Linked DNA regions of Lepisosteus oculatus. The protein of the gene in region 1 purifies or fractionates together with the protein of each later gene. This does not show direct contact. Links are inferred from orthologs where the notes say so. Each region holds a gene or a part of one and is shown on either strand. Other genes may lie near its edges.

Evidence for each region.
Region 2: the proteins of ocrl (region 1) and snx9a purify together in Homo sapiens (co-immunoprecipitation; 3 studies listed by BioGRID and IntAct, with this or other methods). This does not show direct contact. The link is inferred for Lepisosteus oculatus from reciprocal best matches to the Homo sapiens genes OCRL and SNX9.
Region 3: the proteins of ocrl (region 1) and plekhj1 purify together in Homo sapiens (co-immunoprecipitation; 3 studies listed by BioGRID and IntAct, counting the BioPlex papers as one, with this or other methods). This does not show direct contact. The link is inferred for Lepisosteus oculatus from reciprocal best matches to the Homo sapiens genes OCRL and PLEKHJ1.

Annotation. Positions count from the first base shown.
Region 1 is NC_090703.1:50,394,536-50,404,920, reverse strand, and holds the start of ocrl (inositol polyphosphate 5-phosphatase OCRL), read right to left. Parts: upstream 4,840-10,385; 5' UTR 4,193-4,839; coding exon 4,145-4,192; intron 2,953-4,144; coding exon 2,873-2,952; intron 1-2,872. Other genes in the region: protein eva-1 homolog C, read right to left, coding at 6,273-6,673, 7,093-7,182, 7,867-7,938, 8,398-8,541, 9,294-9,446, 10,168-10,294. UniProt on the Homo sapiens protein: Catalyzes the hydrolysis of the 5-position phosphate of phosphatidylinositol 4,5-bisphosphate (PtdIns(4,5)P2) and phosphatidylinositol-3,4,5-bisphosphate (PtdIns(3,4,5)P3), with the greatest catalytic activity towards PtdIns(4,5)P2.
Region 2 is NC_090697.1:22,099,554-22,109,554, reverse strand, and holds the start of snx9a (sorting nexin-9a), read right to left. Parts: upstream 4,795-10,001; 5' UTR 4,435-4,794; coding exon 4,423-4,434; intron 1-4,422. UniProt on the Homo sapiens protein: Involved in endocytosis and intracellular vesicle trafficking, both during interphase and at the end of mitosis. Required for efficient progress through mitosis and cytokinesis. Required for normal formation of the cleavage furrow at the end of mitosis.
Region 3 is NC_090724.1:8,581,270-8,590,967, forward strand, and holds the start of plekhj1 (pleckstrin homology domain-containing family J member 1), read right to left. Parts: upstream 4,717-9,698; coding exon 4,623-4,716; intron 3,297-4,622; coding exon 3,229-3,296; intron 3,137-3,228; coding exon 3,070-3,136; intron 2,629-3,069; coding exon 2,538-2,628; intron 2,423-2,537; coding exon 2,359-2,422; intron 2,097-2,358; coding exon 2,013-2,096; 3' UTR 1-2,012. Other genes in the region: sf3a2 (splicing factor 3A subunit 2), read left to right, coding at 7,189-7,386, 7,472-7,518, 8,121-8,230, 8,873-8,922, 9,616-9,698.

The DNA.
Region 1 (10,385 bases):
GTACAGGACACTAGCGCGCCTGCGGTGCCAGACCGGGGTGAATCCCCGCGCACACCGGAAACAAGCGCCACACCTCTTCTACCCTCGGTCTTGCCTGTGAAACAGCCCGTGGGGCTCGTGTGAGAAGGCGCAAGAGAGTCAGGTTGTCCCACTATTCATGTTCCTCTTCTGTGCAGGGGCTCAGATGCAAGTCTCTTGCGACCTAAATGAGCTTCCCAGAGCCTCACTGCAGGACAGTTCGCTCTCCTAGAGCAGCGGATTAGCACAGCTCCAATGCAGCTGAAGGGTTGTAAGCATGTGAGCCTGGTCTGACCCTGCAAGGCTCTGAAAGGGATACTAAGCCCAAGAGACCCCTACTACAGACCGCAGCAGGAGTTCCTGACACCGGAGTTCGCTGCAACTCAGCCTGCCTTTCTCTTAAACCACATAAAGCACATCAACCGCACAGCAAAATAAACCACCAAGAACCGCAACAAGTTCACAAAGGTATCAGGAAAATAATTTCTATAGCAGGTCCACATTTTATCACAAATAAGCAAATTGTGCTTATTATGCTGTTCAGTATCTGTCAGCAACAGGTATGATCACCAGCTGGTCTACTGTGTGATTCTGGTCCATTCCTGTTCAGGAAATTCTGGACAAGCACGTGCCTGTTCACTGGTCTCTATTCCGAAGTATAAATGGTATGCCCCCATCTCGCAAAAAATCACTGTTACAAATGAGGATGTTCTGTATCGAACCAGGATGAATCCTGCAGGAAAAGCAACAGGCGGGGCTCCGGTCAAGATCAATGCAGAACTGCGCAGTCAAGGTGGCATCAATCACTACCAATGACATACTGTACCAACCAGACACTCCTGTCCCGATCATCACACCTGGGACTCCTCACCGACTGGTCTGGTGCACACAATTAGTGGATCATTCTGTACCTCTGCACCACACTCACTGCACCTTTTGATGCTGAAAACATGAATACTAAAACTGTCTCTTAACATCCACACAAGGAAGACGGTTTACAAAAGGCAAACCTGTGGCACCTCACAGACTGTCTTGCAGTCGTGCTGTTGCAACATTTCGATGATAGCTTAATTTTAATACAGGTCCTTAACTTAAGACAGAGGAACGCAGAGATAAAACAACACTGCCTAACAGAACTGAAGAAACTTCCTAAAAATATCATCTGAAGGGGAGTGCGTTCAGAACAGGTAAGTTGCACACAAAAGATTTTGGAAATCTCGAACAAGCTCCCCAGCCATGTTGGTGAAGCTGATACCCTGGATTCTTTTGGGAACCAACTTGAGGAGACCCCCAGAACCCTGAACTCCCAGCAGTCAAACTGGGAAAAGGGGCTGAATGCCCTCTTCATGTTCGTGACCTTTTTTCGAGGCTGATGGATAACTTAAAACATCCCGGCTTTTGCAGCCATCGGAAAAGTAAGGACAATAGCAAAGCACAAAGCCGTCGCGATCGCAGTGGGAGAAAGGTTTAAGGCATGCATTAAACCACAATGCCTACTAATACCTCCCTCCATCAGGAGAGAGATGGTGTGCAGCAGGACTCTGAAACAGGGCAGGGACACCAGGGCCCCCAGAACAGGGAACAGGTCAAGGACACAGGTCTTCTGCAAGCAATACAATCACTCCATTTGCATGTCATCTGTGCCACGAAAGCCACACAGTTACGGGTCTCAAGTTGTACAAGAGCCCATGAGCACACTTGACAACAAAGGCCTCTTTTCAGACAGCATTCAGCAGACCAAATTGATAAAAGGCCCTAGTTAGTATATTATTATTGGAGATAACATTTTATTCTATCTGTGAGCACAGTGCACTAGGGGAGGGGATGGCACTCCGCCTACAGCACTGCCCACACATCGCCCTGTGATGCAGAATGACAGCCCACACCAGTCTCGTGCCGTTCGCAAAGAAAAAAAACCGAGACGCTGTCAATCGCTTATATTACATGGAAACTGAGTGAACATCTGTCTGCATGAGTCAACAAAGTCATGAGCCCAGCTTCTTGGCTGGCTGGAACTGTAATCCCCTAAAAACAAACGAGTGAGCAGAAACGGTGCTGCTCTGTCCTGCGTGTCTCAGCGCACCTGACAACCAAGCAATATTCTATCCCAAAGCCTTTTCAGAATGGAAAATACAGATGTTTCTTTCGGGCAGGACAATGGCAGAGTGAGACGCACTGCTGCCTTGAAGCACCGGGGGCCAGGGTCCGGTTCCGGCCCTGGGGTGCCGTCTGTGTGGAGTTCGGACGTTCTCCCCGGGTTTGGATCACACGTCGAAAGACATGCTGGTGGGTTAATTGGCTTCTGGCAAGGCTGGCCCTTGTGTGAGTGTGTGCCCTGTGACAGGCTGGCGTCGCACCCAGGCCGTGCCCTACCCTGCCCCTGTTGCCTGCTGGGACAGGCTCCAGCTCCCCCACCACTGGATGAAGCCGTGACAAAGTGGAGGAATGCATTTCAATTCCCACACAGCCTCACTAGCAAGAAGACCCTCGGGAAGGCCTGTGCCCGCCGAGCCCCTGAAGGTGGTGCTTTACTGCTGGAAGTGTACCCTGAAGCCGAGTTTTACACTCGCAGACTTCTGCAGCCGGCAGCACCAGAAAGCTACTGCACTGTCACAGGTGCCAAAGTGCAATGCGTACTCCTGGGCCCAGAGCACACACCCTCGGAGAAACAGGACAAGAACACAGGAATGGCGACGAGGACAGCGCGTGGAGCGCCGCCTCTCTACTGTCCCAGCCAGCCAGCCAGCCGGTTTGGGCCAGACGGCGCCTGGCTCTGTTCAGGTTCGCGGAGACTCTGCTTCCACACTGGAGACCAGGCCTGCATGAGGCAGCACGGAGAGGAGAAGATACTTACTTGTACTCCCCTGCGGACTCGATGAGGGAGAGGAGCCTGGGCTCCTTCTGTCCACCTCTGACCTCCTGGGCTTTCACGGTGTGAGGCGGCAGGTTAAGGAGGCAGGGCTGAGGGTGGGGAAGGAGGAGGAGGAGGCATGGGGCATTGCTACCTCATGTCTCTTGTCCTGAGCCTCACACAAATGAGGCACTAACCTCTTCAGCGTGCCAGAGCGATAAGGAGGAGACTAGCAGTACGCCTCATCCTTGCAACCAAACCACAGCGCCAGAGCTGGAAACCGCACACATCTGCAAGTCACCCACCACCAGCCCCGGGCGACCCCGCGACACCAGCGACGAGAACAAAGACTGCCCGCGTCTATTCCTGCAGGTAATGTATTTTTAAAGGGTTCTGGCAATCGGAACATTTTTATTAACGCCAAAAAACAAAATTCCTCACGTTTTCTCCAGCCATGTACAAATCCGCGGCCGTGCCTACACACGCTTTCCCGCGTCCCACCGGTACACGTTTTCGGGATCAACGGTAAACACTGATCACAGACCTAGCCACACGTTTTTGAACACAAACCAACCTTGAATGAAAACGCTCACGGTGACACTGCAGCGCGCCACAGCCGTCCTAACTCATGCCTTTCGTCATAACGTGTGCAGACCCTGTCAATGTCGGAGATCTCCTTTCAAACGACACAGGGCGGACCGTAGGGAAGAGCACTCTGACCCCGAGCCTACCTGCGCTTTACAGCCCGTCAGGATGTCGCACATGACCAATAAACCTACACTGCGTGCACGGAGATTGATTTTCACTGCCAGGTTCGTGCGGCCTTTGAAGACGGCGGGGAGAGAGATAAGGACACAAGGGCGTATCAAACACACCCCCTCAAGGGCTGCTGCAAGACAGATTGACTGACTCTGGGTCCAAGCCGGCCTGCTTGCGTGGGTGCCTGTCAACACTGCACCGGGGGTGATGCCCACAAACTCAACGATTCGTGTGATCAAGCTGTTTCTACGGCTGGATTATGACTATTGAACATCACCTTCACATATTTCAATGCGGTTCGACATATAAAAGCACCGTTCTTTTTGTTCCCCTTTCTTTAAAGAACGATTAAGAGATATATTGACATTTCTAAACGGGACGTAAAGTGTCCGGCGTAAGTCACCTGCGCTGCATATTATCACAACTTGCGTGCCTCCCTCACTAACACGAAGACGCATGGTATTTCTGAGGCAGGAAATACTCGGAAAACAAAAAAGTACAGAAATGAAAGGATATTGCAATACATTGGCTTTTGCAGAGTCCGAATGCTGAAGACGTCTCCATCAGCGACTAAGGGTGTGATGATGGTCACAGCTCGGCCGTATTTTCTTTTCTTTCCCCAGGTCCCGTATTTATTTGTGGCACACTCCTCCCCCGCAGTCTGCTCCTCCAGGAGGAATGGTAATGAAATGCTGGAGACCGGGGTCTGGCAGAGCCGACAAGCCGGGGCTCTCGGTCTCCTGCTCGGGGTTACCAGGCGCACGGTGCCTTCCGAGGTCCGACCAACCTCGCTCACAATACCTGTGTCCCGGGAGCAGGGCCGGAGTAACACAACCCGATCTTCCCCCTCGCCAAGAAAACTAATCCCGAGGCTCCCGCAGTCCGCGGACTGGGTCGTGTCTGTAACCCGCTCTGGCTGCCCCGGAGGTCAGTGTTGTCTTGCAGCCCTCGCCGGCGAGAAGTCGCATGTCCTCGGCTGCGCCCCCTATTCGACACCGCGGCGCACTCAGACTCTCCCAGGCCCCGGCTCCAGCGCCTCCGCTCCCACTCGACAGCTGCGCTTTACCTGGAAACTGGAGCCGGATTAAAACGGCCGAGCGACAGAAAGAGTCCTGGCGGTGCGGCTGCAAGAATATACCCCCATTTCCGAAACTTACTGCCCTCTACCGGCTGGGAAGACCCTGTCTTACGTTACGGGCCGCGTCAAAGAGACGCGCACAAAATCGGCGTCTCCCCGAGTTACAGAAGGGGCTGTGCTCCCCAGGTTTAATTTCTGACACGGTTAAAGAAAGATAAATTCCTGATTACTGTTTTCTTTAAAGAAATGCACATGTTAATAATGCAGGTGGGTAGCTGCGTCAGCATGCGTAGGCTGCAAAGGAACAAGTAATAGGTTTATTTCATGCTGAAAAAAAGAAGAAAGAGAACACAACGTTTCGGCCGTGGAGCCTTCTTCAGGTGTCAAACCTTGACACCTGAAGAAGGCTCCACGGCCGAAACGTTGTGTTCTCTTTCTTCTTTTTTTCAGCATGGAATAAACCTATTACATGTTAATAATGTCAGCAAAAGAGGTGAGGTCGCCTCAAGTCAAGTCCAGGTTATTTTATCGGTTTTCTTTCGACCAGCTGACCAGCGATGGAGTTTTCTTCGTGGGGCATATTTCCACGAATTTTTGCTGCTGTCATCCAAGACTATTTCCCACACAAAGCCGGTAACTCCTTAATCTCGTCACTTTGTTTTGTCCCAAAACTGTCTGATTTTGAATGTGAGCACTTTGAACTATCCGTCTGTAATGAACTGTATCTTAGACAACTGACAGAGACGACAAGTAGCTGTTGACGTGGTATTTTCTATTATGGATCCAAAACTATCATATCAGAAAACCGAATAAAATAAAATGTACAGATAACAACCACATATTATTAGTTTTATTTATTATATTTAGAATTGTTTTTTTCCCCAATACAAAGCAAGTAATAAGTGAAAAAACATGAGGGAAATATTAAAAGGTCAATATATAAAATACTTTTTACATGTTCATGATTTAACAAGAGCTGCAGATAATGCATTTTACATTTTAACTGTGCACTATGGTACCACATTAAAAAAAAACTAATTGCTGATTTAGGTACAAAAAATATTAAAGGAATAATTCATACCATAATTTTGATTTAACATTTTAGGCACCAGAGAAATGTTAACCAGTTCAGTACTTTATTAATCCATTCAATATCTGTAGCATTGAAGTTCATGTTAAACTCTGAGACAACTGTACAGCTACTGTACATCACATACAGTTGTTAATTGTAAACAAAGGCTTTTAATTTTTTTTTGTTAGACAAATGCTCACAAACCATGCAATAATAATAGTAATAATAATTCTCATGCCTTCTTCACAGAAATAAAGTTTCAGCGCTCAAGAGGTTTCCGGGTGGGTTTTTTTACGTCTCTTTCTTTACGGTGGGGCTCTCCGGTCCCGATCCGGCTGGACTGCAGCGTGTCTCCAGGTCCTGCAGGCGTCTCTGAGGCTCCAGCCCCTGTAGAGAAGCTGGGAGAAGCTGCTAAAGGGGTCCCGTTGAGCCCGTGATGAGCTGATCCGGGTCACTCCGAGCCCGGCTGTCCCAGAACTCCGGCGTGCCGCTCCCTAGGGGCCGGAGGCCTGGATCTTGTGGATGGCGTAGGGGCTGGAGTCGCCCGGCAGCCACATGTCCCCCTCCTGCAGCTCCTTGCCGTCGCCCCTCTCCTCCATTTCCACGGTCAGCTCGGAGCTGAAGAGGGTGTCGGCCGTGCGGTAGGCCCAGGTCAGGCGGCGGAACGAGGAGTCGGAGGAGCTGTCGTCCTCCAGGTCCGCCATCAGCTCCCGCCGGGCCGGCGCCAGCGCCGCCGCCTTCCGGGCCAGGCGGGCCTTCCGGGCCACCTCGAGCTCCAGCCACAGGCTCTTCACGTCCCGCAGCACCATGGACTTCAGCCCGAACACGCACAGGAGGAAGACCAGGCCGGCGCAGATCCCCGAGACGAAGTACAGGGCCACCGTCTCGGGCAGGCCTGGGGAAAGAGCCGGCAGGGGCGGGGCTCGTCAGGCTCGTCAGGCTCGTCAGGCCCGCCGGGCCCGCTCTGTCTGGTACAGCTCAAACAGGGACGACACCAGCACCCTGATGGCTGCCAGAGTCAGTGTTTCACACCAAATAGAACACACCGTGTACAGTAACAGAAACAGAAAACTGGGGGGGATTGCTAATATGTAATAGGATGGGTAAAATAAGAACCGGCATGCAGACTTAGTCCTTCCTCTTGTTGCGTTCATGGAGCTACTGCCTCTGCAGTGCCCTGGGCTCGCTGTTTAGGAGCCACTAGAGACCTGGACCTTTCTCCACACACTCTCACTTTCACTCTGCCTGACGCCCAGACCACACTGAACCAGACACGGAGGCCCCTGGGGCTGAGCACAACACACAGCGACGTACCCCAGACTCGGGCAAAGACCTCCAAAGCACTGGTAAAAACCACCACCTTCCCATGAAGCCTGGACACTCCGGGGCCAGTGTACCAGCCTCCTGTGGGTGAAGAGGGACTGGGCTTAGGGGCCGCTGAGAAGGCCAGACCAGTATGTCTAACCCTGCGTGTGCCGTGCTGGGAGCCTGCCAGCGGGGGCACCTCAGGCCGTCCTGCCTCAACCCCGGGGACGTGCAGAGCTCTCAGCGAAGGCAGCAGATGGGCCGTGTATCTCTATTGATCGCCTTGTGATCTGCTGTCATTTCCTTCACGCTGCTCTGGGACTGAAATATGGCATCTCTGCTGGTGAGCCGGCGTGTGCAAGGAAAATGACAGAGATGTCTTTTGGACACGGATTCTAAACGTTGGCGTGACCAATAAATAATGTTAAATAACCCGTTGAGTTTAAGCAAGATGTATAAAATCATCGCTTGTTCAGATCTTTTCTTGCTAACACTTTAAAGATCAGGAAAATGGGAGAAAAACCAAGATAGTTAAAGAGTCAGCGATTATTGATACAAAAACTAGGGGCTCGCACGTTTTGGCCTATTTTCCTCGATATCCATACTCATAATTCACGAATGAGGTGCCACAAATGCTGAACCAGAAAGGAGTGTTCTCGCCACTGTGGGTTTTGGAACCCTTTGTCTCGTGTCCTCTGATGTCTGGTGTGGATACTGCAAGCCGCTGTCCGATAAGAGCGCTGATAAACGTGAAAGCTCCAGGACAGCCCGCGGGTCTCTCACCGTGAGTGTAGTCGGAGATGGAGAAAGGGTCTGGAGAGCCCCGTCCCAGCTCCTCCAGGAGAACTCTGGGCACTGGAAGACAGGGAGAGTCACAAACACAAGGGAAGGAGCCCTCATCTAGAGAACTCGCAAAAAACATAAAAGGCAAGCTGGCTGACAGACAGGGATCAAAATCCCAATGTGCAACTGCCTGAGGCAGATCGTCAGGGGCTTTGATTACTGATTACAGGAGGCTCTTATTTACACAAAGTGTGGTGGGAGTGTGGAACAAGCTGCTCAGCTTTTCTCTGTCATGGAAGAAGGGGAAGAGGTGGGATGAGATCTAGGACCAGTTGGCCTCTAGCAAAAAAGAGCTAGTGAGGCTGAACACTCTCCTCTCCTTTTTCTCATCTTTCTCCAGTCCTCCTTTTCCTGTCATTTCAATCTATTCAAATTAACCGTGGACATTGACAGATGCAGGGCAAAGGCAGGCCGCAAAATTTGCCCGTGACAACAAATATTTAAATTGCGTTTTTACCCAGTCTCACTCACCACATGCATAGGACACACGGAGGTGCTTCTTCATCCCCGGAAAACAGGGGTCGCCGAAGCTCTGCGTGTCCGCGAGTACCGAGCAGTTCGGTCTCCCGTGACACCTGCGAGACACCTTCCTCAGAGCCGACGGGGACAGACACTCTGCAAAGCACCACAACAATGCAGGGTTGTCCGATCGGCCTCATTCATACCGATTGTGCTGCTTTATAATCGTGTTGTTTTCTTCACGTCTTTTTTGTTAATCCGAAGGTACTAACGTTTTTTTTTCTTCGATGCAATGCAAGTGTTCGACACCGAGTCGACGAAATTTAAATGACAGTGCGATGGCAGGTGTTATCCACTAGAGGGGGCAATTGCTCGCAAACAAAAAATTATGTTACTGCCCCGTGTGAAAAGCTTTTCGCTTTTACGTCTAATGTGAATGGGTGTATTTATTCTCTACATTACCCTCAGCATATAATGCTATGATAAAAAAAAATGTATTCATTGAAGCCGATAAAACATATCGCCAAGAAGCTCCTTCTTCTAAAAACCTGGGGTGCCCACAAAGTGACCTACAAAATCTGATGCATATCCTGGGGTCCAAGGTGAGAGCTGTTGCGCTCCTTCAGGTACATTTGTGAGCGGCCGCTAGTTGCTGGGTCCGAGACAATCCTTCTGCAAACTGGCTGAAGGGGTTGTGAACATGCCCTGACGGTACAGTCCGGTTCCTGTGGTCGGAGAACCGGCTCTGTCACCCAGTGATTCTGGACACCCGCTGCCAGAACAGCACTACACTGCCCTGGAGGGTTGTCTGCAGTCGAGGGTCTTTACCCTGCTCCGGGCAGTGACAAACTACAGTACGTTAACTAATTTCTCCTCCCCTCCCCAGAGCCCCCCTGCTGTGCTCTCACCCATGTCCGGCCCGGAGGCCGGCTCGTCCGGGCACTGCGGGCTCCCGTGCAGCAGGTGTCCGAAGGTGGCGGAGTAGATGGCCAGCACCGTGTCGTTCCGGCACACCAGCCGGAGCCTGTCGTTCTCACACGCCAGCTTGCTGCGGTGATTCTCTGCAGGGTGGGGCCACACGCGGGAGAACAGGCACGCAAATTAGCTGCGTGTTTTTAATCTGTGCACGCTGGGGCGGCAGCGTTTTTTAAGAAACGTGTGTTCCCCAGGGCCTCTGATTTAAATCTGAAACCAAACTGAAGTACATTGACCTATAGCAATTACAAATAACGGTACTGTTTACTCGTAGTATATTAAAAGCTGAACTGCACCATATCGGCTGCACTGTAAGTGTTGCTGAAACAGACGAGCGTTCATTTCACTCGGGATACAGTGTTCGCACTGCTGGAAAGGACGGCCTTTGGAAAACCCTGGGAGCTGGGAGCTGCCAGACCTCATGTTTAAGGAGAATAACAACACCCCAGTTAACAATGTCAGCACCATTCTCCCCGACAGTAGATCATTTGACCGCTGGCAGGTGACGTGATAACTAGTTCTAGGCCTCATTTTTGGCAACTCGGATAAAACCTCCCCTCATGCAGCAGGAGTTTTCAACAGCGAGGCGTGTGGCAGAGGGGCGTGAGTGCAAACTAAGGGAAAGAGCATTAAGGACTGAGAACGGGGGGGTACCTCTTCACACAAAGGGTGGTGGGAGCAGGCATCAGGCTGCTCAGCCAAGCGTGTGAGCCCTTGTACCGAACGAGCTCCCGTCGCTTGCAAACCCTCTTATGTTCACATGTTGCTCGCAGTAACATTTAAGATCGGAATGTTCCGGTGTCCCACCTGGCCTGCACTTGTAGGACACGATCAGGTACTTGCTGGTGCCGGGACAGGGGTCCAGTCCGAACACGCGGCTGTTCACCGGCAGCTGGCAGGATCGCTGGTCCTGACACTCGTCCACGACCTTCTGCTGTCGTGCGGAGAGAGGGAGAGTCAGTGGAGAGTCTCCCGTCGCTGCTCCTGACCCCACTGCCTGTCTCCGGCCCTGCGCCTGTTGAGTA
Region 2 (10,001 bases), on another chromosome or scaffold:
TCAAATCTTTTATAAATCAAACTTTTTGCAGAATGACATTAAACCATGAAATCACCTACACTGCTTCTTTAACACAGATTAAGAAACGTCTTTTAACCAAACACACGTAATGAGATAAAATACAATGTCATTACAAATATTTTAAAATGGCAATTTTTTTAAAACCGTGCATGCTTAATAATCTTTGTCCCATCCCTACTCTTCCCCTCCAGAAAACTTGTTCTGATAAAAAAGTGAGATAGACCAGATATTTACTTAAGATTGGTGACTTGATAATGTTAAAAAATAAAAAAACTCAAATAGTGAGTCTCAAGAGCTTCTTTGCATATTAAAGTGTGTGCCGTTAGATGTTCAGTCCATCCATAACTTGCTTTTGTTTTTGTTTCTTGATAAAATAATAAATCTATTTTTTTCTTTTTAAATAGTATGCAGAACATCCTACAGGGAAAACACAGAGCTGTTCCTGGGAGTTTAGTAGCCTGGAAAGTATCTGGGTACAAAAAGGCCAGTCTCCTGTGAAACAAGGGTGTACCTGATGATCCAGCTCAGACTTATGAGGTACTTAAAGTACCTGCTCTCACTCTGTAAGCATTGAAGACCTGCATATTTCTCATTGTTTTAAAATATTTGTACCTTGTTTTAATACACACATTTCAACATGTACTTTTTCAGCTTTTCAACATGTTCTAAATGGCACCTATCTAAATAGACTCTGGGTGTAAGAACAGAGGACGCAAGCTTTTCCATACTATATCCACTGACATCTGACTTTGCTTTGCACTATCCCACTGAAGCTAATGTCACATAACCTCAGAGCTACTGTATCTGAACAAAACTGCTCTACTTCCCTGTATGATCTTATATTCATTTCTTTCTTTGAATGATTGCTTCTTCAAGAAATGCAGTGTATATAGACTGTTAAAGGTTTACACAGGAGGGTTTCTTATTGTTAATTAAAATGTAAAGCAAAATGTTCTCCAGTATTTTCATCATAGTCACCAGAACCCAAGTTGCAGGACTGTGAACGCATGCACTGCATTTTTTCACAGACCAATAAATTCTGACACATACACCCTCAAATGTTGTTATCTTGCAGGTTTTGAGATCCAGAACAAATCCACTATATTAAGAGGGTAGCTAATTTAACAAACTACTAAGAAAAAAAATACTTCACTTCCCTCCTTCTGTTATGGGGATCATACACATCTTCAATAATACAACATGTGATGCACTCAAACAGTACAAAAAATAGATTATAAACATGGTCATTTTTGTTCAGTACAATTACTGGATTTAAATGCACTGTACAGCTGTACATATGATCAGAGGCAATCACAGTAGGCCATCCTGTCAGGATAATGGTACTGTAAGTGCAACATGCTACACACAGCACCTACAGTACCAGCTGCAACAAGGATACTGTATCTACATATCTTTTATTTTCTAGTATAGTAACATAAAATTTAAATCCATGACTTGTTAATGCCAGTGTAGTTAAAACGCAATGAAAGTAAGTAATCTTCATTTTTGCAATTTGTTTTTTGTCCTATCGTCAACTGCAAGAACGAATCCTTTGGCTTTCACTTCATCTTTTATCCTCTCAGTTTATTTGTCATTTTTTTCATAAGAGCAATGAAAACATCTACCTCACTACAGAAAAGTGCTTGTGCTTTTAATATTCCTTTTTCAGATTGTGGACTCAACCAGATACCTTCACTTTGAGATACACCCAGCAAATGTAAACAATACAGAACAATTCCTCATACCATGAAAAATATTCTGAGGCATGGTCAGGTAGTGATTTTTGAAGGGTGATTGTGGTGTGTGTGTATATATATATTGTGATACATATCCTAATTGGTACTATATAACACAATATCCAAATCATCAGTCAGAGGTTTTAAATGTTCAGCACCAAACACTTATAGTATACGAATTGACCTGGATCTCAGTTTCTTTTCCCAAAAATTCCTTTCTGTATGAGATTACGTGACATAGGGGCTTTGCAAGCCATAACAACAAATTACATTACATTACAATTACAAGTTACAATTACACAGACAACATAATTTCACTGGTAATTATTACACATCAATAATAATTAGTTTTAAAGTACTACACAAACAGCACCTGTCTCTTAAAACATTATGTCACCAATACAATCCTTACAAAACAGATATGATATGCCATTTCATTTCAGAAATTCTTTCTCAGCCTGTGAAATACTAATTGAAAGAAAAATAATTTTATTAAAGCTTAACCATTGTATAATTTTGTTATATAAGGAAAATAAACAAAATCAGTGATATATAAGTGATATAGCCTTATGAATCTGGATAAATTATTTGTTGTAACATTCAATTAATTATGTTTTACTATAAGACAATATTTCTCGGATAAAACACTAAGAGTATATTAATTTCTTTGGATAGTGGTTTACCATGCATACTACTGTATGTCTTCAGCCTTAAAGAATTTAATAAAATACATTAGCGTGAATCACCACTGAGCAGAAAAAAACACTGGAAATAAAATAGTGCAAATATTTGTATAAATATTTATAGATAAGAACTGCATTTGCAGGATACCCAGAAACAGCAAAACACCTTCATGCATGATTTCAATTATTTCTGTTTAGCAGAATCACATGGTGTTGATATACAAGTTTGGTGAAACATCCAAAGCCTAAACTTTGCACACTGTTCAAAAGAAACACTTCTGAAGCAAAGGAATCTAGGGCTATTTAAAAAAGGTAGCAAAAATGAAATTAAAATGCTGACATTTTCAAATTATTTTATAATTCTAAACTTGTACTTGAATATGTAAAAATGACATGAACACTCTGCAAATGTGCACTGTGGCTTACATTGGAGCATGAACAGTAGGTAAAACTTTCTTCCTCTTAAGTAATCCATATCGCCCCAGGTATACAGGTATACAGGGGGCTGCAGTGGCATCCAATTTTTTTCAATCTATCTTAGAATTACTGGATCTGTCCTGAATTATTTCCTTATATCTATTTCAAAGTGTCTTTATGTATTTAAATTACAGCAACAAGATGAACATGTGGACCAATGCAGACAAACTCTATTTGATATTTTATATTGACTAAACCACTGAGAAAGAATTGCCAACTATATAATACTATAATAGTATTAGTTATATTAACATTTAATAATTTTTAATAGTTTTTTACATATTTTACAGTACATTTTAGGTTGATGTAAAACTAATGCAAGCAGCTGACTCTGCATTTAACTGCTGAGTACAGTAAAATACATTAATGACATAGTGCCATGAAATTAGATGTTAAGTTGTTTTACATTTGTGTAGAAGAATATTCAGCTAAAACATTTACAAGCTAAATGCATCCATCCATCACAACTGGTGTGTCTTGATTGATTCATGCTTTAAAACTTAATTCAGAAGGCATCAAAATCACTTTTTGTTTTACAGCAAAATGCTTTGAAAATTATTCCAAATACAGGACAGGTCATTACATTAAAATTATTTGCTGGATTGCAAGTTGCTGCTCAATAATACTGTATATAGCTAACCTTTACAAAACAAATGTTCAAGGAGGGAAAAAACATATGCTATACAGTACGTACTGTAAAAGCAGGATTCCACCCAGTCTGATTTTTTTTTAATCAAGAACATACCAATAATTGACACTGCAAATTAAATTGAAACCTTGCGTTGAAATTTACATTTTAACTTTCTGGGTACTACTGTTCATTTCCCCCTTTTATTAACGATGTTTAATATTGCCTAAAAGGTCACACGTCAAAATTTTCTCGCCATAATGTATAAACTGTGTACTGTAGGTACTCTATTGATAGCCTTTATCCATAAGCAGGTATAATAATAAAACTTTTTAAAAAACAACGTTTGGCTACATAAATATTACAACGTCATCTTCATACGTAGTACTCATGCTGTAGTCACAATTTTAAGCAGTTTGTCCACTTAGTAAAACAAACTGAGACAAGAATACAATCTCATTTACTGGGTTAATTTTCTATTTGAGCATTTTTCACGTTACATATAACCTCGCGTGTCCAGAAACTACAAATCCCAACATTACTTGCGTCTGATATGACCCGCATTGGAAGGGTGGAATAATGTCACAAGACACTTTTAATGATATATACTGCACATATTTCGATGGAGAATAAACAGGGCGCTTAAACAGAGTTCTTACGCTAAAGGTGCATACGATTGCGTGTTTTATGTTCGACTGCAAAACCAATACATCCTTTAAGATTAAAAACACTGTTTTTTAACTAAGCTGAATAGACCTTTTTTTAGTTCAGGCTGAAACTGTACCTCCAGTTTTTGCTTCTGCATAATCGAGGCAGTTAGAAAATGAATAAGAAATGCATGCAACTTTAAAAAACAATAGCATAAAATTCACCTTACCTTCGAAGCCATTACTGCTTCATTTATTTATTTTAAAATATTTTTGAAAAGTTACTTTATCGGTTCCTCAATCAGCCATTCCCTTTTCCAGCCACTGAGCGAAAACAAGGCAGTTCTTCTTGGGAGTGCTGGTGAACTAATTTTAATACATCACTAAATACAGACTGCCCTTTGACCCGAGGAGGGGAAAAGGCAGTTTAGAGGACTCTAGTTTAAGTAATCCACTTCGGACTGAGTTTCGCTAGATTTCAGCTTCAGTTTAGTCCTGTATCCCGAGCACGGCGCGAAGTTAGTGGAGCCCTGCGTCTTATACTGAGAGAACAAAACCGGAAAGGATCTGGAAGCAACACCAAGATATTTATGACAAGTCAGCCTGCAGATACGGTTCAACTGTTTCTCCGCTGCACGAGTTGAGGGCGCTGTCCTACGAAATCGCTGCTATATACAGTACTAGTAGTTTCTAAACTACATTTTTTATACCAGGCATAATCAACATAGATATGCGTCTTTATTTAAAAATGAATATGGGTTTGCTGTATGGTTTACGTAGAGGTAAATGGGCCATAAAATATGTCTCATTGCATCAGCTTTATCAAGTTATTTATTGTATTGATCGTTATCGCTTATAACCAAGTGGTGTAGAAAATGTATTAAATGTTTTAAATTTTGATCATAGCATTTCTAGCCTTAACCCAATGTATGTATTATGTAATTGATACGTGTTGGTTTCTACCCCCAAGTCATGCACACCGAATTGAAATGTTGCTCCTTTCCTAGATGTGTGCTTCGGGACCTTTGGATGAAATTCAGTATTTGCCAAGCGCTTAGCTTACGTTCTTGAAATCCCCTTTTGACAACAAAAGGAATTCAAGTTTTGATAAATACAGGACCTTGATTCCTTTAACGTTATTTAAAATAGAGCGTTAAATTAGGGGGAACCGCAGCGGACCTGCCATTTCACTATTGTAACCGTATAATATACAGCTTGTAACGTAATTAAAATAGTATATGGATATCATAAACCATACTAATATTAAATTATTTTATATAATAATGTAACATTTGCCTGGTGTTAAACGTCTCTTTGACCTTCCACCCGTCACCTTTAGCTCACGTGCTTCTCTATCCCCACCCTGTATAAGGAGGGGAGGCCTCTCTCTATACCTCATGCACTGCTAGCAGAAGCTTCGCTCATTCTCCACACCCAACCCCCTTGTGTTTACAGTTACAGTACCTGTAATCTTTAAGGACAATAAGTCTTAGTGAACCTGCTCTCCTACTGTACTAGCCTACACTGCTGGGGAATTGTCAGTATAGGAGAAATCTCCTCACCTGTCTAAGCAAAGGCATAAAAGACGAATGGAAAGCAGACTCCTGATGCAGGCCAAGAGGGAGACAGGACCTCTCACCAGGGATGAAGCTCGGAGAAACATGCTGGAGATAGGCCAAGTCTTGTCTGGGCAAGAAAAAATGCCAAAAGAAGTGCGAAACCTGTTTAAAGTCTTTAGATGCGTTCATCTCTATGGAAGCGTGGTGACCATGCTGGTGCTACAGACACTACCCGAGTGTTGTGTGTCACAGCCCAGTGAGAATCTTGAGATCTTTGCTGCTGACCTCCACTACCTTGTGCAAATATCCTACCTGTGCCACCCCTGCTTAAAATGTCACTAGAAGTGTCTTTATCATGTAAATCAACAAAGAAAACAGTTATTCAAATGGTTCTTAGGCTGACATTGAGGCAGCTGTCAGGAGAGCTTTGTAGAAAGGAAGAAAGTTTAGAGAATGTCAAAACCCGATAATATTTATTTGAAAAATACCTTTTCAGCAGACAGGGTATACTTCACATTCAGTAATAATTCCCCAATTCCCCAATTTACATTAACCACATTTGCGGGCCCGTCTTTTGGATGATACGTTAAACCGAGGTCCTGATTCTCAGTGGTCATTTAAGATCCCCAGGCATTTCTCAATAAGAGTAGGGAGTTATCCCGGAGTCCGGGCCAGATTTCTGCCCTCTGCCTTTACCGTGGTCTCCAAATTGTCCACATGTATGATTGGCTTGCACTTCCCCTGTGATTGACTGGCGCCCCATCCAGGGTGTACCCTGCCTTGCACATGTTGCTTGCCAGGTAGGCTCCGGCTTCCTATGACATCATATGGTAAAAAGCGGTTTGGCAAATGACGTGACATGACATTTGTAGGCTCCTATTCTCTTTTTGCATGGATCTTTCAACCCTCCACTGGCTTCTCTCCCACACAGAGCCCAAGGGGAAGTTGGCCCACTGGATCACAAAACTACAGTACAACCAACCAGATGAGCACCATCTGAATGGAGATTCCTTATTCTGGAGATCGTGTGCAGAGGAAGGCTTTGCGCACTGAGGAGCAAGAGCTGGGGCGCTACCCTCACCAACCACAAGCTGCCTGAACCCGCTGCCTGATCTCACACCCTCAGGGAACACCAGTCAAGAGGCCAACCCACATACAGTAGCTGGTCTGTCAGTGGCAAAGGCTGAAAGGTGACCTACATACAAGATGGCTAGACAAACTCCTTTAACAAAAGCTCTATGGCCACAGTGCCTGCGTCTTCGGACTCTTCATGGCACTGGGTTCATCCTGGCTCCAGTTTAAGCATGTGGCAGGTTTTGGTTCCTTAACTGCTATGACCCAAGTTGCCACAAGCCCACCTCGTGGAGTAAGCCACTTTTGGGTAACCAAGAATCTCCAACAACTCTAAAATATATTTCTTTATATTTTTCCCTTTTATTCTATTCTCTGTTTATGCATTTTAGTTGCACTCTTCAGTTTTTACCTCCCTATCAAGTTCTTTCCAAATTTTTTTCAACAGAACGTTTAGGTCAGGGGGAATTGTGAAACCAGTACAGCAATTTCACAATTTAATTTTCACGTTCAGTGCAGATTTGCTTTCTTTACTGTTACAAAGTACACAAGGATAGCAAATTCACTTAAAGGCCCAAAGCACAAAGCAAAGCTAAACATGACTTACTATACTCCTGAGCAAAAAACAGCAGGTGTTGCAATCGATACACTGGCATCCCCTGTCCCCTGAACCTTCAAATTGTCTTTTCTGTCTCTCATGGTCTTAAGGTCTTTGCACAATTGCCCCTTCGGCCTGGAATCAGGGTTGGGTCTAAAAGGCAAATGTTTCTGCATTTCTTAGCCCTGGGCCAAGCTCTGAATCCCGGTGAAAGGCCACTGACAGAATAGTCAGTGTAATCATGGTAAGGAGAGGTAAAATGAGGAACTATTGCAGTCTGTATGCTTTCAAAGAAATTCAAAGTCTGCTGTATCAGAAAGACATCAAAAGGTAAAATGATCCTTAAACTTAGTTGACATCTTCTTCCCCACTCAGTGATTTACTTATTTACTTTTCAGATGTTTTGTCTGACATTTGTTACCCAACACACTTGAAGGAGGTTATGCAGCTGAAATATATATATATATTTTACTTTTTACTTCTCCTTCAGCTTTTGTTAATATCACAAATGGCTAGTACGAACAGAAAAACAGAAGAGGTACTGTATATCATAAAGAACATTGCCCCCTCTTGCGTTCTGTGACACTGCCCTGTAACAGGGATTATATGTAAAGTACCTAAGTGTATCATTCTCTTCTTTTTCTATCTTTAATATGGCCAATGCTGACAGATATCACTAAAAACAAGTTAACTGCGAGTTGCCGTCTTGCAATCATTAAATAATACAATAAATAAACCTTGATTACATGAATACATGAAGGTTTACATTTAATGAATCAAGAAATTACAGATAAGTATATCAGTTCAGAAGACTATGACTGTTTTTAATTGTGAGTAATGCGTAGTGTTTAAAAATATATCTATATAGGTTTATTTTACTGAACAAAATATTTTTGTATATAAAGAAGAAAGTTCATAACCAAGATAGGAGCAAAGAGTCAAGAAAGTCACATCAGTTCAAAGGAGTTCTCAGCAAAGGAAACTGAACTGTCTCCTTTGGAAGGCTCCATATCCAACAGGGGTCTCCAACTCAGTTCCTGGAGGACTGAATATCTTCTGTTTTCTGTTCCAACTAGTCTCAGTTACTTAATTGTTCTGATAATGTAATTCACTCCATAATTGTAACACTTCTAACCAGACTCCCACACAGTTATAGCTCCACACAGAGTTATAGCAGCTGACATTTTACAGAACATTTTAGGTGGTTTCAGGTTGTAGGTAAGGATGTGATTTCTGTCGTTCTAACAGGAAGAATAACTGCTAAAAACAAATGGAAATTAGTTTTATAATGGTAAACCAATATAACAAAATTTAAGAACAATTAGACAAAATGTTAATTAAGAATTTAGAATTCAAAATTGTAGTATTTCAGGTGAAACATCAACTCAAACGTTTATACCTGTGTTCTAGAACTAATGCAGATTTGCAGATTTATTTTTTCTGTGTAGAACTTGTGAATTTCCATTACATTACCTCCACCTAGTGGACCACAAGAATATAAAAAAAGGTACCGTTCTGTATGTTTTCTACAGTTGTAAATGACAATTGACAACGTCATACCAGAAGAGCTAATTTAGACAAAAAATAAGTTTTAAAGAAATAACTTAGTGAAGGGTAAGTTATACAGTAGCTTGCCACAATAATTTAACTGGAACACGATAAAAGATACATTTTAAGTACAGTATCTTAAGTAGACATTTTAAGTATACCTTCAGCTGTATTTCAATATATTTGCTGTATTTTCAGCCTGAAAACAGGATTGAAAGAATAGAGGGAAACAACTTTTTACAAAATAATCAGGTTTTTCAGACGTTGTTTGAAGACTATGAAAAGAATTCAACAGACAGACTGCAGCACATTAAAAAGTTTACAATTCTGTATTTCATACATGCATATTACTCTTAATGCTCTGATTAAAATAATTCTTGATTCTTTTTTTCTTAATAACTCAATGGTTAAGTATCTATGAACTGCAGAGGGAAGAGAAGGAGAACATAAGGGGACACCACACCTCCTGCTGCACTGCACACCAATAGAACCTGGATTTGGGGATTATACTGAAGATATTGCAAAAAGCACCAGCTGAACAAACTTAAATCATGTTCTCTGGTTGGGACTGTTAATTCTCTGCCCATGACCATCAATAGACAATCTGTCAATTAGAAAATGCCACTCTTTGATTCCTAAGATTAGGAATTAGTTGTTTCCAACCTTGGAGAGTGAGATGAATTTCACTCTGTTGTGGTTGAATGGGATAGCCGTGGACAGACTATTTGGCTGTTATTTTTTCTTTTCTGGATTCTCTGAGGGGTGGATAGACGGAGGGTCACAACCAAACTTTCTGTTTGGTATTTTTTTTTTCGAGAGTGGCAGAGCACAAAAACACAGCACATTATTCAAATTTTCAGTGGCAGCACAGTAAGGTGTCCATGACCCTAAGCATTAGAGTAAGTATCATACTTATAATATTTCACGATAACTTCTGTTTTTAGGCTTTTTGTAGGACACATTAAGACACTGTACAATCAATGTCCATTTCCCTTTATTTTTATGTACCTCTATAGAATTTGGACCCGAGTTG
Region 3 (9,698 bases), on another chromosome or scaffold:
ACTTACTACAGCCTACTGTGCTATTATTGTAGTGCACTTTGGATCTCCGTCTCCAATACAACATCCATTTTAGGTGGGTGGAAAATGGCCCATATCAATCAGTCAAAGTTAACTTATCAAATCCACAACAATACAGTGTGCAGAAGTAGTTGCTAGCAATTAACTGTCTTTTCTGCAAGCTCACTGAGGGGGTAAAAAACCTCAAAATTAAAGTTACAAAATAAGAGATAGTGGGTTAACAATAATCTCTAATCAGGTGGAACCAATGGTCTTGGGCTACACCCACGAGTGGGTAAATGGATTTCAGAAATTATCATAAATCCATTAACCCACTTGGGTGTGTAGCCCAGGACTATGGGTTCCACCTGATTACAGATTCATGTTAACCCGCACTCTCTTGAAATCCAGCATCGTAACTGCATATAAACATTAAGGTTTTGTTAGAGCAGAAACAAAACACTTTTTTGGCTCCAGCGCTGCTGTGGGTCCTACATGTGACACTATGCGCTGTCCACTGTCCCCAGCGCGGCATGCCAGCCCATCAGACCCTCCGGCACAGAGGCCAAACAGGGCACCTGCAGGGCAGCCAGTGATCTGAAGTCTTAGGTTCAGGTCCATAGACGCATCTTCAATTTTAATTAGACACCTCTAGGGTATAAAGGTGCTCTTTTTTAAACCACCTTTAACTGGATGGTTTTTGATGTTTTTTTTCCCCCAAGACACCAAGTCTAGGTGACTAGGATCAACCAATGCCCTGGCCCTAAAATCAAATACAGCACTGACAGAAGACAAGCGTGGTGTGAAACAGGAACGTCAGCTCAAGCGCCTACAGCCCCAGCCCTGAGTTACTGGTGCCCTGTGACATAGGGTGCCAGGCCAGGCTTGTCTGAAGAGGCCCCTCAGTCACCTGTTTACAGGCAGGGTGTAGCTGCGGTTATATTTCTGGTCATCTTAAGAAAGTTAATTTTCTTTAAGTCACGCAGGTGTAACCAGCTCTGGTCCTAAAAGACTGTAACCAGAACCTTCATGGTTTCACTCCGAGTTCTTAAATTATTTTTATAAGTGGTCAAAAAACTAAACAAAACAGCAGTTAAGAATGGCTGCATCCAGAAATTGGCAATTTAAAAACTAAATCTTGCATGACAACAGAATTTCAGAACCAAGGAGTTCCCTCCTCCTTTCTAGAAACAGGACACAACGTAGTTCACACAAAACTAACACGCTAAACCCACACACATTAACAGCTGCATCCAGAGGAGTTACATGTGCACAGAAATACTGACACTTTATCAATACAGCCTTTTAGATTTTAAAGGTACCTGGAAAGAAAATGCTAAAGAAAATAAATGTCTACAGAATTTGCTTAAAAAAATAGACTTTGTATGCACTTATGTACACAACTGCAAATCTGGGTGCAATCAAACTCTACTTAAACAAGCGTTTTGTTTTTTTTTCAGAGGGAAGTAGTTACCCGACTTAAAAACGTCAGGTTGTCTCCAAACACTGAAACTATTTAGAGAGGGCCCCCCTCAAGCAAAGATATCAAACTATCACAGTGACATAGGCCTCATGTAAGAGCCTAGAAATCCACTGCTCTCTCCACAAAACACTGGCAGAGTACAGAAGCCTCATTCCAGACACCTCAGAAATGAGCATCACATTTTAGAAAACATGCACACAGGTTGTGATCTTATACATCAAGTCCAGTGCAGAAGCACTAGAAGATTATATAACAAGGCTTTCAGGATCAAGACCCAATTGCCAACTTCAACTTCAATTCAGACAAATGTTTAGCATGCACATTTGATCCAATTTTTGCTTTCGTGACCCAGGTCTCTCAGAAAGATCCTGTGAAAGCGGTCTTCACAGTGCAGACGATTGGAAAGGTCAGTTCTCTCTCGGTGGGGTGGACGTGGTAACTGTGCTCTCGGGTGTGTGGTTACAGTGGGGTAGCAGGTGTGAAGAACAGCCCCGTGTGGCTGTAGGGGAGGTGGGGTGTGGTGTCCCCGCTGTTAGGTCGCCTTGTCGCTGGCTTTCAGGGAGCTGTTAACCTGGAAACGAGCCTCATCCGATATCCCATACTGCTCCAGGGGATCCTGGGAGAGACATAGAGCTTAATGACTGACTGACAGGACACTCGAGTACATTAACACTGCACTGAGAGAGAGGGGGGCTAATACAGACACACTGACTGGACACTCCAGTACATTAACACTGCACTGAGAGAGAGGGGTTAATACAGACACACTGACTGGACACTCCAGTACATTAACACTGCACTGAGAGAGAGGGGTTAATACAGACACACTGACTGGACACTCCAGTACATCAACACTGCACTGAGCAGATGTATCTCACCTTCCCTGTGATTCTCTGAATCTCGGTGCGGTAGAAGATCAGGCTCTTCCTCATGGACTCATAGCTGTGGGAGACGCCACACAGGGAAACATCACACAGACATGCGCCAAGAAGTCTGAACACTCTCAGAACCCACCACAGCTCCCACTGGGACAAACGGGACGGATCGACAGACAGACCTGGCTCGGATAATGGAGTCCATCCAATCCTGGCACTGCTCCTGAGAGTCACACTCAAACAGGTACTTCCGCTCCGACTCGTCCAGGAAGGCTGCGGACACCGGAGAGGAATGGTCCCAATCAGGAAGACAATGCCCAGGCACTGGACTGGACTGGACTGGACTGGACTGGACTGGACTGGACTACAGGTCTGCACAGGTCTTACCAGTCTTGATCTGGACTTAACCCTCAACTCCACTAGAGTGTACACAGAGCCCTGGACTGGAATGGAGTGGGTTGTACTGGACCAGACTGGAATGGAATAGACTAGGTGGTATTGGGCCAGACTAGAACAGACTGGAATGTGTTGGACCAGACTGGAATGGACTGGGTTGTTCTGGACCAGAGCAGACTGGAATAGACCGGGTTCTATTGAACAAGACCAGAGTAAACTGGTGTGTGTTGGACCAGACTGGAATGAACTGGGTGTATTGGACCAGACCGGACTGGAATGGGATCCGGGCCCAGAGCCCCAAACGCCCACGAGACTCACTGATGGAGAAGGCCTGGCTGTCTTCTCTCTCCACCCGGCACTGTTCCAGCAGCAGGGCTCCCAGAGGCTGGAGAGAGATGGACAGTCGGACACAGAGCCGTCACACCGAGCCCTCACCGTCTCCCCCGGGTGCCCCCGCCCCTGCGCCCCCACCCTTACCTCTTCCTCATCTGTGCGGAAGTAGAACAGGAAATTCACCACCAGCTTTACCAGCCTCTTCTTCATGACTGTGGGACACAGACGGGGGGGGGGGGGGTGGGGGAGAGAGAGAGAGATCAGCCATTGCTCCGAGCAGCACTCCCCGCACTCGCACGGTACAGCTCGTCCCACAGACCCCACAGCGCGCGGCTCATCGGAGGAGACCGGCTCCAGCAGGGCCCCGACCTCGTGAGCAACAAGAACCAGAACCAGCAGGCTGGACCCGAGAATCCCGATCAGAACCAGCGCAATGTCCCTCTACTGCAAGATGCTTGCTGGGCTCCGGCTAAGGTCTTAGCTCTTACAGGTGACCAAGGGGCGTCGCCCAACGCCAGTATCGCCAAGTTAGGTGTCCATGGCCATGTCTCAAGATGTGACCCGCGGGCTGGAGCCAGGCGGACTGGACCAGACCGGTTTCCCCTGGCAACTGTGACCTCCTCCTCCTCCTTCTCTCTCTCTCTGGCCTGTCCTTCTGCTGGTCCACCATTCCAGCGAGCTTCACTAGCACAACCGATGGGTTACAGTGCCACCAAACATGACAATTAACACAACAGCTTGGCCATTTCACATATGACACAGGCTCGCTGTGTGTCACACACACACACACCAGGCTGCAGCTCGATTGCATTGGCTCCCCAGCAGGATCGGGAGCTGTTCTGGGTCTGGTAGGTGTGGGAATGCTGGGCTGAGATTAGTCACTGTGGGGAAGGATGTTTGTCTGTCTGATCAGGGCAGCAGAAAGCACGTCTCCGTCTCTGTTCTTCTCCCTCACTTTTTCTGTTCCTCTCCCACAGGGCCAGACGGGGGGGCAGCGGCTATAAATAACTGCGATAAGACAGCAGACGGGCGCTTCCTTAAAAAATAGCTCCCTTTCTGTGCCAGAAAGAGAAAACAATGGTGTGTATCTCGGGGGGCCGCAGACTCTGAGAAAGCATCTCCGAGCTGCAGACCTCCTGGAAACATTTTACACATCGTAATTCCTTCCATCTTCATACCCTTCCCTCGGCAAGGTTACGGTTTTAGCCTGGATTTTTTTTTTTGTAAGATAAAACAAAGAGACTAAACAGTCTAGCTGGGAAAACAAATGCGAAGACAAGAAGCACACCGGTTAGTAGAAATGAGCCTCATGTCCGGTTAGGTGAAACCGGTCCAGTTAGAGGACAGAAAGAGACAGAGCGCCGAGTCCCAGTTATAAGCAAACACCGTTTCATGAGTACAGCTGCGACCTAACGGATAAGGACAGGCGACAGCAGGGCAGGGAGACGAAGACAGACAGGGAAGTGGACACGGAAAAGACACGCGTGGAGCGGCAGGGAGAAGGGAGGGGAGGGAGAGCCCCGTGTGCCCGTCCGTACCGTCGCCTCTCTTGGGTCCTCGCATGCCCAGCTGGGCCGCCCTCTCGGAGGGCTGGCGGCTGAGCGACACCAGCTCCCTCTCGTTAAACCGCATTCCTCCTCCTCCTCCTCCGCCGCCGCGCCGCTACCGCCGGCCTGGCATCGCCCCGGGAAACCGGCGACCGCCGTCCGCTCCGGCTGCCACACGCACGCACACACCCACCCGGATCTCGGCGATCCCTGTCCCACTCGGGACAGCCGGACTCGCGTTACCAGGCGACGGGGTCTTGCGCGTTTCTCTCCGCAGCTTCTCACACCTGCCCACCGCTCCGCCCTGCGAGTCTAGCGGCCTCACAGGCAGACAGACCCCGGGGTCACGGTTTTCCACCGCCGGACCGGACCCTCCCCTGCGACACAGCTGCGCTCCGCACCCGGAAACGGTGGTCAGCGGTGAGGGTTTTCCGCGTTAAATACCAGCCATAGTAAAATACAGACTACGTCTTAATAGTCTCGTCCACTCGTGGCTAATTTTTCGTAGTGGCTGCCGTAGTCTTATTTTTCTCTTTTTTTATTCTTAATAAATGTGTAAACCAATTGCTATTGTATTCACTCCGTCCTTAATTCGCATTAAGAAAAAACTACAAATCCCAGATTGCCAAACGCTTTCTACGGTCGTGTTTGCGTGGCAGGATTTCTGGGACATGTAGTCAATTTTAAATGTCATGTGACAAATGTGATCTTGAACACGTTTTTGGTGCAATTATTTTTAAAACATACACAACTGGACAGTTTCTGAAATGACAGGTTTTGTATTTGAAAAATTGTCCGAATATGCCGCATTAACAAAATTAAATGAAGAGTTATTTTGAATTACTGGTCATGTCACAGCGAAGAGATTGTTAATAAAGTTTGGTTTCCCTGCGCATGTACTGTTTGACCGGAAGTTACAAGCGTGTGTTGTTGGTAAGGTAGTCGTTCGAAATGTTACTTATAATGTCTACAATACTTGTTTTAAAAATGAAATTAATACATTTTTACAACTGTAAATGTATGTGAATAGTTTGGGTGCTTGTACATGCTATTTAAGGTTTGCTAAGTTTGGTAGCTTTTAAGATAAATTTGTTTCTAGATTCGGGACACCTCGTTGTTACTTTTTAAAAATAACATTTCACTGTGAGATTTGTAATTATCTAATAAGGGAGTGTTCTTACAATGTAACCTTTGTTTTAGGAATTATAAAATTACTTCATTTTAACAAATAAGATATTAACAAATCCTCTCTGTAATCAATATTAGCGCCCTTCGATCTTCACGTAACTATTTGTGACCTTTCCGGTTTAAAAATTATTCAGTGACCGAAACGTCTGCGTGTAATGTTTTAGATTAAGTGTGAGAAAGGCATCGACTTTAAACTGTTTGTCCACGGTTTTTAATTAATTACGGTACGTTACAGATGTATTAAGTTGCGTTATCCATTAATTACTCGTTAATCACTACTTGTTGGTGTTCTGGCGGGGCTGTGCAGCTCCTTCTCAAACCCCCGATAGTTCACCATTAAATCGCGGGTTTCTGAAGCTTATGAAGTTTCTTAGTGATAAGATAAGCATCTGCTGGTTCTCTGGTTCCAACGATCCTCTGTTTTGAAGTTCAGAGCCCTGAACGTTAACCGCGGATTAAAACGCTGCTGTAAATGTGGATTAAACTTTAATTCAATGTATTTATAGGCCCGATCGTCAAGTCATCGTCTGTCGTCCTCCAGTCCTGCGCCAGTGGCCAGTGGAGAGCTGTGGAAAGCGAGCAGAGGAACTGCCCCCAGCTCTGCCGGAGGTCCCTGTTGTGGGGAAAGTTTTCCCACAGCCGTGTTTATTGTGAGTTCACCTTGTCCGTTTTTCAGGAGGTGTCTTTTTTTTTTTCAGCAGCCATATCACCCTGCGGCTCCCAGCTGGCAGCCCCACTGGAGCCCAGCAGGTGTGAGCCTGGCCAGTACCTGGAGGGGAGACTCCTGGGAAAGCTGAGGCTGCTGCTGGAAGAGGTGTTAGTGGGACAAGTAGGCCCTAATGCATCCCTCAGATGAGAAGTAAAACCGAGGTTCCGACTGTGGTCATTAAAAATCCCATCACATTTTTCAAAAAGAAAAATGTTACCCCAGTGTCCCGGCTAAATTCCCCCCTGGCCTTTACCCATCATGGCCTCCTGATAATCCCCCTCTCTGAACTGGCTTCATCACTCTGCTCTCCTCCCCACTGAGAGCTGGTGTGTGGGGAGCGGACTGGCGCATCACCCAGGTGGGGGTACACACTGGTGGTGGTGGAGGGGATCCCCATGACCTGTAAAGCGCTTTGAGTGGAGTGTCCAGAAAAGCGCTATAGAAGTGCAATGAGTGATTATTATTTTTCCTGAGTGGGGCGCCGCGGGGTCCCATCTGTGTGGTGGGTTGTTGTTGTTGTTGTTGTTGTTGGTGGTGCTGGACTGGTGGAGCAGTGAGAGTCTGACCAGTGTCTCCCCCCACCCCACCCCCCCAGGGCCCGGTGTTTTACCCGCGGCCGAGCGAGAGAGAGCGTGTCCCTGAGCCCGCGCGCCCGCCAGGATGGATTTCCAGCACCGGCCGGGGGGGAAGACGGGGAGCGGGGGGGTCGCCTCGGCGTCGGAGAGCAACCGGGACCGGCGCGAGCGCCTGCGGCAGCTGGCCCTGGAGACCATCGACATCAACAAGGACCCCTACTTCATGAAGAACCACCTGGGCTCCTACGAGTGCAAACTGTGCCTGACGCTGCACAACAACGAGGTGAGCGGGCGACCTGCGAGCACAGCGCCCCCCGCTGTCCCGGCCTGGGGTTAACGCCGCTGCCTCGCTGTGCTTTGTTTTTCAGGGTAGCTACCTGGCGCACACGCAAGGGAAGAAGCATCAGACCAACCTGTGAGTGGAGCTCATGTTCTTTGGTTGTGTGTGTGTGGAGCTGTCAAAGCGTCCGTCTCCTTCAGCCCGTCTCTTTCACTCTGACCCGTCTCGGCTGCTGTCTGCCTGCGTCTGTACGTCTGCGTGCCTGTGTCCTGCAGACCCTGCTCTGACCTGTCTGTCTCTCTGACCTGTGTTAGTGTGAGTGTCGGCTTGGCTCACTGTCTGTTTACTTGCCTGTGCGTCTCTCTGTCTCTGCCTTTTTGTCTGAGTGATCATGTCTCTCTGGCCCTGCCTGTATCTGCTGTGGGTCACCCTGTCTCTCTGGCCCTGCCTGTGGGTGACCCTGTCTCTCTGCCTGTGGGTGACCCTGTCTCTCTGGCCCTGCCTGTGGGTGACCCTGTCTCTCTGGCCCTGCCTGTGGGTGACCCTGTCTCTCTGGCCCTGCCTGTATCTACTTGTGGGTGACCCTGTCTCTCTGGCCCTGCCTGTGGGTGACCCTGTCTCTCTGGCTGTGGGTGACCCTGTCTCTCTGGCCCTGCCTGTATCTGCCTGTGGGCGACCCTGTCTGGCTCTCTGCCTGTGGGTGACCCTGTCTCTCTGGCCCTGCCTCTCGATCTCAGTGCGAGACGAGCAGCCAAGGAGGCGAAGGAGGCCCCAGCCCAGCCCGCGCCGGAGAAGGTGAAGGTAGAGGTGAAGAAGTTTGTGAAGATCGGGAGGCCGGGATACAAAGGTGAGGCATAGCCCAGCATCCCCTGCCTCCGGGTCTGGAGACTCCCGACCCAGTGGATCTGTCCGTGCAGGCGAAGCAGATGCAGTTTGCCAAAGGAGGGGGTCCCCATAATTCTCCTGAAGAAAGTGTCAAACTGGAATTTCCCCTTACTGAGTGGGGTGTTACTGCTTGTCATCAGAGAGTTTTTGGGTTGGGGTACAGCTGGTGTGAGAAGTCAGGCCTCTTGAGATCCCCAAAAATGTTTTACTAATCCCTTACTTTAAAATTATGACCAGAAATATTGGTAGAGATGTCAAATAAGCCTTATAATGAATAGCAAAATAAAGCCCAACAGAAAAGATTAATTTTCAGCCTTCTCCTTCTGCTGATGCTTTGCATTTTGGTAAGAGATTCAATGCTGTCACTCTAGAAAAGGGTACAAAACAATTCTTCTTCTTTTTTTGCAATAAATTCTTAATGTAAAAATGACATAGCTCTAAATATTTCACTGTCAAGATTTAAGAAGAGTGAGAATACCTTCTGTAAGGCTTAGAGGATGAATATTAGCACAGAATCTGCATGTTGCATACCACTGAGTCTCTAAAATGCTTATTTTCTTATGTTTTTAATTAATAATGGAAACTAAATATTCTTTCCCTACAGTGACAAAACAGAGGGACCCAGAGACTGGTCAACAGAGTCTCCTTTTCCAGGTAGGATTGAACAGACCAACTCTCAGCTCTGTTTATCCACCTGCATCCCTAAGAGCAGGAATGGTATATAGTGTACTCTCCAGAGTCTCTGCTGACCCCTCAGCGCAGGAGTGGTACACCCCAGTCTCTGCTGACCCCTCAGTGCAGGAGTGATACAGCAGACACACTGACCCCTCAGCGCAGGAGTGATACAGCAGAGACACTGACCCCTCAGCGCAGGAGTGATACAGCAGAGACACTGACCCCTCAGCGCAGGAGTGATACAGCAGAGACACTGACCCCTCAGCGCAGGAGTGATACAGCAGAGACACTGACCCCTCAGCGCAGGAGTGATACAGCAGAGACACTGACCCCTCAGCGCAGGAGTGATACAGCAGAGACACTGACCCCTCAGCGCAGGAGTGATACAGCAGAGACACTGACCCCTCAGCGCAGGAGTGATACAGCAGAGACACTGACCCCTCAGCGCAGGAGTGATACAGCAGAGACACTGACCCCTCAGCGCAGGAGTGATACAGCAGAGACACTGACCCCTCAGCGCAGGAGTGATACAGCAGACACACTGACCCCTCAGCGCAGGAGTGATACAGCAGAGACACTGACCCCTCAGCGCAGGAGTGATACAGCAGAGACACTGACCCCTCAGTGCAGGAGTGATACAGCAGACACACTGTGAGCTCCCTGTCTCCCCAGATCGATTACCCCGAGATCGCAGAAGGCATCGCCCCTCGTCACCGGTTCATGTCGGCGTATGAGCAGCGAATCGAGCCCCCTGA